2 separate regions of the Mus musculus genome follow, and region 1 is reported to be linked to region 2. The links are microRNA targets in miRTarBase. Many come from high-throughput screens and were not tested one by one. Region 2 holds a microRNA gene; the other region holds the end of a gene's coding sequence.

The links. The annotated mature microRNA mmu-miR-9-5p reads UCUUUGGUUAUCUAGCUGUAUGA and lies in region 2 at 2,638-2,660, shown strand. An mRNA with a match to its seed (bases 2 to 7 or 8) in the 3' UTR can be bound and repressed. Matches are read on the target gene's strand: a 7mer-m8 pairs with bases 2 to 8, a 7mer-A1 pairs with bases 2 to 7 and ends in A, and an 8mer does both.
Region 1: the mRNA of Rnf144a is a reported target of mmu-miR-9-5p. Seed matches in the 3' UTR shown: 7mer-m8 at 3,890-3,896.

What each region holds. Positions count from the first base shown.
Region 1 is chr12:26,307,068-26,311,345 of GRCm38, reverse strand. Rnf144a (ring finger protein 144A) reads left to right here. Exons shown (of 10, transcript NM_001081977.2): 10 at 557-4,278. The coding sequence ends at 688. Among named protein-coding and RNA genes, the nearest start is that of 4930549C15Rik, 38 kb to the left of the region's middle.
Region 2 is chr13:83,736,184-83,740,745 of GRCm38, forward strand. It overlaps Mir9-2 (microRNA 9-2), which reads left to right and starts at 2,631; the gene lies at 2,631-2,702. C130071C03Rik (RIKEN cDNA C130071C03 gene) reads left to right here. Exons shown (of 4, transcript NR_152245.1): 4 at 1,987-4,562. It overlaps Gm51268 (predicted gene, 51268), which reads right to left and starts at 2,693; the gene lies at 2,638-2,693.

The DNA.
Region 1 (4,278 bases), not on the chromosome of region 2:
ATTAGCCTTTGATGAAATCTTGGTCTTTCAATCAGACAGTGTTCTCTTGGAGTGTCCAGATCTCAGGTGCCATTGATTATGTGACAACTAGCCATGATCTGACAAATAGTGGTCGTCCAGGGAGAAATCACAAAATGGTTGAATGCATGGAAGTATGGCTTGGGGTGGAGCATGAAGGGAGAATAGAAAGGAAGCGGGGAGAAGAGGGAATACAAGTGAATGAGCCAGCGGTTTGTTGGGAACATAGGAGGAAAGATGGGCCCATGGATGCTCGTCAGAGAAATAGATCTATGAATGGGAGGATAGGTGGTGGATGGATGCATGCGTGACTCTGTGGATGGTTGGATAGGTGGGTTGGATGAATGAATGCATAGATGGGTGGTTAGCTGAATAGATGAATACATGGGAAAGTGTATGGCGGGATGGTAGATGGATAGATGGATATAGATGTATTGATGGATTTGGTAATGGTGGGTGAGAGTTGGTGTAATTTAAACTTCAGCTATAGAACCTACAGACCAGCCTTCCTCACCTCTCTCCTATGTTTCCCTTCTAGGTGGTGGGAATTTTTGCTGGATTTGGGCTCCTGCTCTTAGTGGCCTCCCCTTTCCTGCTCCTGGCCACACCCTTCGTGCTTTGCTGCAAATGCAAGTGCAGTAAAGGTGACGACGACCCACTGCCCACCTAGAGGATGGCACGACGCTGGAACAGACCCCTTCCTCGGGACGTGTGGCTCCCCTACCCCTACCACCCCTCACACTAAACATGTTATTTGCCTTATGTGCCCCATTGAGCTTCAGTGTCCGGCTTGCTGCAGAGATTTCAGGGATGGCGCCAGCAAGTGGGCAGAGGCCCGGGTGTGGTCTCCTGGGTGCTGCTGAGGCACGGGAGGCGGAAGTGGGTGGGGGCATCCCCTCAGAGTCGTTCTGTGTCTGCAGACCTGGCTGGAGGTGGCGTCAGCTGCATACCAGGCAGTCTCCTCCCCCTGGCCGTAGACTGGAAATGTCAAGTTTAAGAGACCCACTGGGACAAAGGGTCTCCTTGGCTTCCAGATGGCACTGTGGTGTCAAGAGAAGTCTTCAAGGATTAGACTGTCTTCAGCCAGCACCTGAATATCCGACTTGAGAAAACCACCCTGTTTGTGACAACTGTTTTTATTCCTAAAGGCATTTAGTAAAACCCTTTTTAGAAGACTCTCTCCCCCTGTCAACTGAGTAGTGAAAAATCAATAAGGTGCGTAAAAACCATCCTATGCCTTTTTTCGAAATGTGCATTTTATGAAGTTATAGATATAAATCTTTTCTGGCCTGACCATTTTATTCAGGAGCTACAGAAAGCCTTATGCACACTCTGTGTTTTTCTTGGAACCTGCTGTCATCAGTTTTTGAATGCTGTGAGCTGTGTACTGTTACCCACACGGGCCCCGTGTCATTGCATTTCTTTGAAAACACTGCTACATTTGAAGGATTATCTCTAGCTTCACAGCATTGCCCTTTGCCCCAGTTCAGCTCACAGGGCGCGTCCCTTCAGTCCTCTCTCCCGGGTGACATCAGATGCCTTTGCGCATCTTTAAACCGGATGTTCTCCTCTGAACTAATTTTACTCCGAGTGACTCTATTTTGATTCCATGCCCAACTTTTTAGGTAGGCATCAAGGAGACAGTGTCATCTATCTCTAGGGAACACTTGGAGGCTGGCTTAGAGCTTTCTGAAGTCTATGCATTGTTAAAATGTTTTAAGTAATTTGAAAAATCATGTGGCTCACACACTCTGAACCCTGCTAACCAGTTTGTTCTTGCTAGGTGAAAAAAGGAGAGAGAAAGAATAAAAAAGGAATAAAGGAAGGAAGGAAGGAAGGAAGGAAGGAAGGAAGGAAGGAAGGAAGGAAGGAAGGAAGGAAGGAAGGAGAGACCCTTCTGTTTCACTTAATTTTTCTGATGTGCAGAGTTTGTGAATTGATCCTTCCCTGGGCTATGTGACAGTTACATATCAACAAAGAGCAAGTTAGTAAGAAGACACAGGTATTCCTTAAATCGTCTCTGAAAATAGGGAGCAGTGCTTTCTCTCAGAGTTGGCTTTCATAGTCCAGTGTGCTTCCCAGGAGATGTAGAGATTTGGGGAGGGGGTGGCTGGGCATTTGACTACTGCAGGAACATCCTTAGGGGCTGTCTGTATGACTCTTCGTTTATGGGTCAATGTTAAGCCCTAACAGACACTCCCTGCAGGGCAATGGCATAATTCTCTTTATTTTTAATTGACAGTGAGTAACTGAGGTAAAACAGAACCACTGGTCTCTCATCCTCTGGTACTGATTTTCTTTATTAAGCTAAAGCCATTTAGAGTCTCAGTCCTCATCAAAACCACACTCAAAAAGTCCCCCTGGTAGTTGCAAATTACAGGTGTGACTTCTGCTGGGTGAAGCCTAGGTCTTGATGCTCTGTGGTGAGAAACTGGTCAGTAGCTGAGATTTGAGACCTCAAGCCTGCAGTTTGTATGAGATGTTATCCAGTCACCACCCCTTAAAATGCCTGTCAGGAATCTCAGCTGTCCTGGGCCCTGGCTCCTTCTTGCCTTGCCTTGATTGCTGCTGTCTGATTTGTTCAGTGACATTCTGTCTTTGCGGTGGGGGAGGCTGCAGTTCAAGCTCCCTAATCAAAGATGGGGTCCCCTTATGTCTAGGAGACTCCTCTGGATGTCCACACACCTCTGTAACCCCACCTGTGCTCACACAGCAGCCTATAGTGGGCTTCCTAAGCACATGGCTGGCACAAGCGGGAATTGTGGGGACATGGGCCAAACTGTATCCTGTCTGCCCTGAGTCTTTGTACACTTACTCAGTTGGCTTCAGTAATAAAACCTAACTTGTCCATTCCCTATAGAAACACCAGTAAGATCACGTTGAAATATATAAACTTATGTATTGTCGCCCGAGGGAGTCCTCTAAGTAGAGGTTACCACATGCGTTTACTATGGACATTCAGCTTGAGCCAATTGTGGTTTGAAATGCATATGCAACAGAAGAGGTGGCCCCCGATGAAGCTGGCCTCTCTGTCGGTCCTAAGAAGCCCGAGGGCCTCTGTGACCAGTCTCATTTCTGTTGCTCAGTGTGGTACCTCAGAACTGAAAATGGAGTTCCCTGAGACAGACTGTTTTCCTGATGGAAGAAGAGCTGGCCTTGTAGAGAAGGCTCAGAGTGGCGGGCTATGGGGCTGTTCCGTAAGACTTCACTGAGCACTCGCTGGTCTGTGGGTTATCCGCAGCTGACCCTGCTACAGAATCTCCCTGGGTGTGCTTATCTCTGCCAAATTCATTCTTGCACCTTGTGTCCTGGGGGATGAGGCGTCACATTCTCCCCCAGAGTGATGCCAGCAGTGGCTAAGTCATGATAGGTGTTCGTGGAGGACTGGGTGACAGCTCCTTGCAGGGACAGGGGAATTGGATTTCATGAGTTTCACTACCCAGAGTGTGGAACCAAAACTTGCCCACCCATCCCGCTTTCCTGCCTATCTTGAGGAGAGCAAATCTTCCCTATAGTTTATTATTTCATAAAGCAGATGTGAGACTCTGACCAGTTCCCCACTGAAAACAGTGCACGTGAGAGGAAGGATAGTGAGGCTGGAAAATTGGCTTCAAGGTGAAATTATCTTTTCCATTGGAATTAGAAAGGGGAAAGATTATTTTATGAGTTAGAAGAGAAGAGTTTCCCTTGGTAGTCTTTAAAGATTAAGGGATTAGAAAAAAAAGGGAGGACTTATTTTGTATACTTCCCAGATTTCCACTGATTAATAAATATACCTGTGAATATATATATGTAGATCACAATGAAATTTTCAAGGGAAACCATTTTGCATGTATACCGTTTTATGAAGGTTTCCTTAAATAAAATAAATACCAAAGCTTGTTTCTCCCTCACAATGAACCCAAACCCTTATGAAGTTAAATGAGGTGAAGAAATTTGGCTATTGCCAAAAACTCAACCAGGAGGGAAGGGCTTATGTTCAAACAATTACTGATGCCCTGTGACTAGGGGAACACGTCCTTTTGGTAGTTAAAACCCCATGGTCTCCAGCCTTCCTGACTTGTATAATCCTGTCTTCCAAGATCCCAGGGCCCTTCCGTTAGGTGTAGCTGTGTGCCACGTGCCTGACTTTTCTTTTGTACTTTGCTTACTTTGCCTTGGGTATATTTTAATCTTGTATAAAACAAAAATGCATGTGTCGGTCATGCGCACGTGCACACGTAGACATTCTGTATTTGACAAATGGTGGTAAGACCAAAA
Region 2 (4,562 bases):
ACGTGCTTATTTTATGTAATACAAGCCAAATCATTAATTACTCTGCTGCTAGTTCTTGGAAAGCAAGGCCACGGTGCTCTTTAATCTTCCAAGCTGCAAAGCTCATTAGGATTTTTACATGATGTCAGAAGTGGCATGCGCTTCACTGAGTTGTTTATGCTGTGACCATATGGTTTAGGAATGAACAAAAACTCTATGAACATGCCTTTAGGATTGGATTGTAGTGTCCGTGTGTATTTTATTTCTGACTTCTCGTTCATAATTTGAAGAGAAATATAGACGAACTCTTTCCACATCTTAGTCTTTTCTCAATAGCCAGTTACAGAATGCTTACCATAAAAGTAAACAAATTAATATAAGGACAAATTGGCATCTCTGTTACTAAGCTGTAAGCCATATCTTAATTGGTGTGATATGTTTAAACTCTTCATTGGAGATGTTTCCTATCATTAAAACACAAACCAAACAAACAAACAAAAAAAACTTGTCAGTCTCTTCTTTACAGAGTTTAGATTTTAGGGCTCTGTATGTGATTAAATAACCAGGTTCTTATTTATGTGTTAAATGAATAAATTAGTGAATTACTGAGAAAAATTTTATTCCAAAAAAATTAATAAATCCAAAAGTATTTTAGCCACTGGGGAAAATAGACACATTATGGAATTGAGAGCATTGTGAGGCACAGGTGATGTGTGCAATGTACATTTAGAATTACTAATTCTCCTTTAGCATGTAACTTAAAGAAAAGCAACATTACTAAAAAATAATTAGTAATTTGAACAATAATCCATAATGTTTACCCACAGAGAACATGCTTCTTATGTAGATTACCATGAATATTTTGTTGAGAGGGATTTGAATGTTAGATATTAGATGTGCTAGACAGATTATCTATTATAAAGGATGAGAAAGAAAAGGATTCTTTGAAGTGATTTTAAAGTCACACTTTAAAAACTCCTAAGACAATGAATGAAGCTAATTAATTAATGAAATGACCTTCTGCTTCTCGATAGAAGGATATGAGTGGGTGGGGCCAGGGAGGTGTGGTAGCTTCCCTCCCTCCCCATCCAGGTGTTGGATCTACATGTTCAGGAGACAAGACTTTTATTTTAATTTTATAAGCAAGTCTAGTGCATTATTGTCCAGTGTGAAATTTATGTTAAAACAGTAGACAAAGGCTCAGCATTTTTGCTACAGCAGAGTTGTGTACAACATTGAAACTATTGCTGCAATGTTTACCTGTGCAGCATGCTAACCCCCACACACACTCTATATGCAAAGCATTTTTAAAAAAGAAGCCCCACTGTTTAGATCGTGCAGTTCGAACTTACAGAACAAATATGCTGCCCTATCGCCACGGTACACAGATAGAAAACATGACTGAGCTGTAAAGCCATTAAAAACATAACACCAAAGCAAATTGTCATTGTAACCATCGACTCACTGCGTAAAAACAGAGCTGATTCCCAGCCCCAGAAAGCGAGGCCCTGCTTTAAGCAATAGTAAAGTGCCTTCCATCTGCCTGCCTATGCAATCTGCCAGAAGAGAAATGCAGGCAAAGAAGTTCCCCAGACCTGAAATGCTTTTATCTATCCTTAGAGAGAGATTTTCTCCATTCTTTGGATATTAGAGCGATCTACACTAGCGCCAAGGAGGTAAAAGGCCGCGGGTTGCTTTTCAAGGAGCAGTCCGTAGTGCTAGTGGATGAAATGTTGATTGAGAATATAGGGACTGCTGCAAAGCTGCTGCTGCCGTCGCCGCCACCGCTGCCGCCGTCGCCGCCGCCGTCGCCTGTGCTACTCCTGGCAGCAGGCGTGGGGCAGTTGGGTGACCACTGATGCATATCAATAACCATGTACTTGAGATTTCTCATGACATCATCATTACCTTGGTCTCCCGCAGTCTCAAACCTTTGACCTTGCCGGGCTGGTCCACAATTTGGCGGTGAAAGCCCCTCCAATGATGGCCCTTTTCTCCTTCTTTCAGACCGGGGCAGCAGTACGCCAGCAAGAGGGCATGCTCTGCCCGCCTAGAAGTCCTAAGAAATCGAGGATCTCCCTTAAAACATTCACATACAAGATATGTGCAATCAAGCTGCCTGCACTTGGTAAAAAAGATCATGATGCCTAACCCAATGATCCGGAGCAGATCTTTGAATCAGCTGTCACTTCTATAGAATGGGATTTCCCCCTTCTTCCTCTTTAACCAGCGTTGGAAACTGCCGATGGCTTTATACATCTCAGTAGAGGAAGGCTAAAGAATCTTCCGTGAGAATGAAGCAATTTACAATGCAAATAGAGGCCTGTGAAGAGAAGGACACTGCTGCTCACCCCCAACAGCTTGCTGCACCTTAGTCTCTGGTCTTAATTTCTGATACTCATAGATGAATTGTTGGCTAACGATACTGGAGATTACTTGCTGGAAGGGGAAAAGTTTGGAATAAACTCTGAATGCAACAGATCTCATTTGGATGTTCTAGCCGCACACACTAAGACAGAAACCAGGTCATGTTTACATGAAAGGAGAAGCTTAAACGCGGCAAGTACCCCGGAGGACTACGCTTCCCTAAAGCCAAAGAGGATCGAGATCTGGAGTTCAGCCAGAGGAAGGCAGCCTTGTGAGGGAAGCGAGTTGTTATCTTTGGTTATCTAGCTGTATGAGTGTATTGGTCTTCATAAAGCTAGATAACCGAAAGTAAAAACTCCTTCAAGGTCACCGAGGAACGTTCCGGAAAGAAAGACTGCAACCAAGAGACAGTAAAAACCAGAAAGGTCAGGAATGCTTATTGAATCTAACTTTTTTTATCTTATGATTGAAAGTGGGATGCAAGAAAATTAAGTGACACGCATATTGAAATCTAAAGGGGCCAGGCTTTGAGGGGCTTGTACAACTGGAGAGGAGAATTGTGTAGTGTTTTTTACGGGTGACGATGCATGTATTTTCTATATTGTTCATTTTGAAGCAAACGTTTACATATGAGGTTTTTTTTTTCTTTTTTTTTCTTAGAAAGCTGTTATAGTGATGTCTGGTACCTCGCTTAAAAATGATTTCATAATTATGTAGATTTGGGCTGTTCCTATCTGAGGCCCCTCCCCCAAGTTTGAAGCTTGTGCCTGGAAACTTTCTATGTATTTGGGTGTGTACATCAAATTCTGTGAAGTTAGACTTTCAGTAAAGCTTATACTGGAAGGTTAATAATTTATATCTACCGAAGACTTAGAGCTAGCAGGGAAAAGGGGTGGGGGCAAAGGCTGATTTTTATTCTTCTATTCAAAATACAAGGACAGATGCTTCTCTGTTCCAAGAGGGTTTCCTTGAGGAAGCTACTGAAGCAGAAAGACATGATGGAGACGAGATCGCCTCCCCTCTTGTCAAAGTGTTAAAAAAATGTTCTGTCTTACTCTGCGCCTAGCATTGGAAATGAAAGTGACATTTACGCCACAACCCACGTGTGCGCCTCCTCTCTTTTTGTTTAAGGATGATCAGGTCTATCCAGGAAACAGCTCTGGCATCCCAAACTGAAATAATTAGGACGTATATAGACCTGACAAAAATGGAAAGGGGGTGGGGAATCTGAGGGTCTGTCTTGCCTAATTGATTCCGCTAAACGGAAAGCAGGAGATGTGAACGGCAGGACGCTCCGATTCCCACGCTCGGGGGCAAGTGGTAAAGCCTGGCCGGCAGCCTATGACAGACAGCCCTGTTGGGGGGTAGGGGTATGAAAAAAACATCAAGCACACACACACCATACTCATCTCCATCGCTTAAGAAAGTAAAGGCATTTCCCACCCACAGCCATCTGCAGCCTCCCAAATGGCAACACCAACTGGTTGGTAGCTGCTATGTACTGTCTCTGTTCATTTTTAAACCTCTGTTTAATCTGGCCATGATTAAATTTGGATTTCTCCTTTGGTTGAAATTTTCACCATTTAAGGAAAACAAGTGGAAAGGGTGCCAAGAGTGCCCCAGAACTGCATGCCCTTCTCAGAGAAGTCCTCAGTATGTGGTTAGGGCCTTGTGACCACCTTTGGCTTTTGTTTTGGCTGTGTTATATTTTAAAGTCATGTCTCATAGCATTCATTATTATGACTTACTTCATCGGGTTGTTTACTTCCTTGTGTGACACACAGGAACTTGGCCTACTTATGCTAATCTACATTCTGGAAATAAAGCTATAAAGTCATCAGTCTGTAGAAAGTTGATTACAATCACAATATGTTAGAGAACTTGTTTTGTTTTAGAATTGTCCTAGCGGATGAGCTTTTTTTTTCCCTTTTCCCCCTCCTCTTCCTTTTCTTCCTCCTCTTCCCTCTTCATCTAAAAGTCACTAGTCCCAGCATAAACTTTGAGGCTTTGGAGAAACCACTGTAGTCCTTTTTTGAAGTTCCTTGCATCCTGTTACATTTTATCAGGCAAACATTTGTATAGGCATTTGCACATAAATACAAGCATTGCAATGAGAAAAAAAATTCCAAAATTGCTTCTTTTCTTTCATATGGCCTAAATTACTGACACTCCCAAATGCATAAGTTTTCTTCAGGGACAGTACATTTTTCTTTATA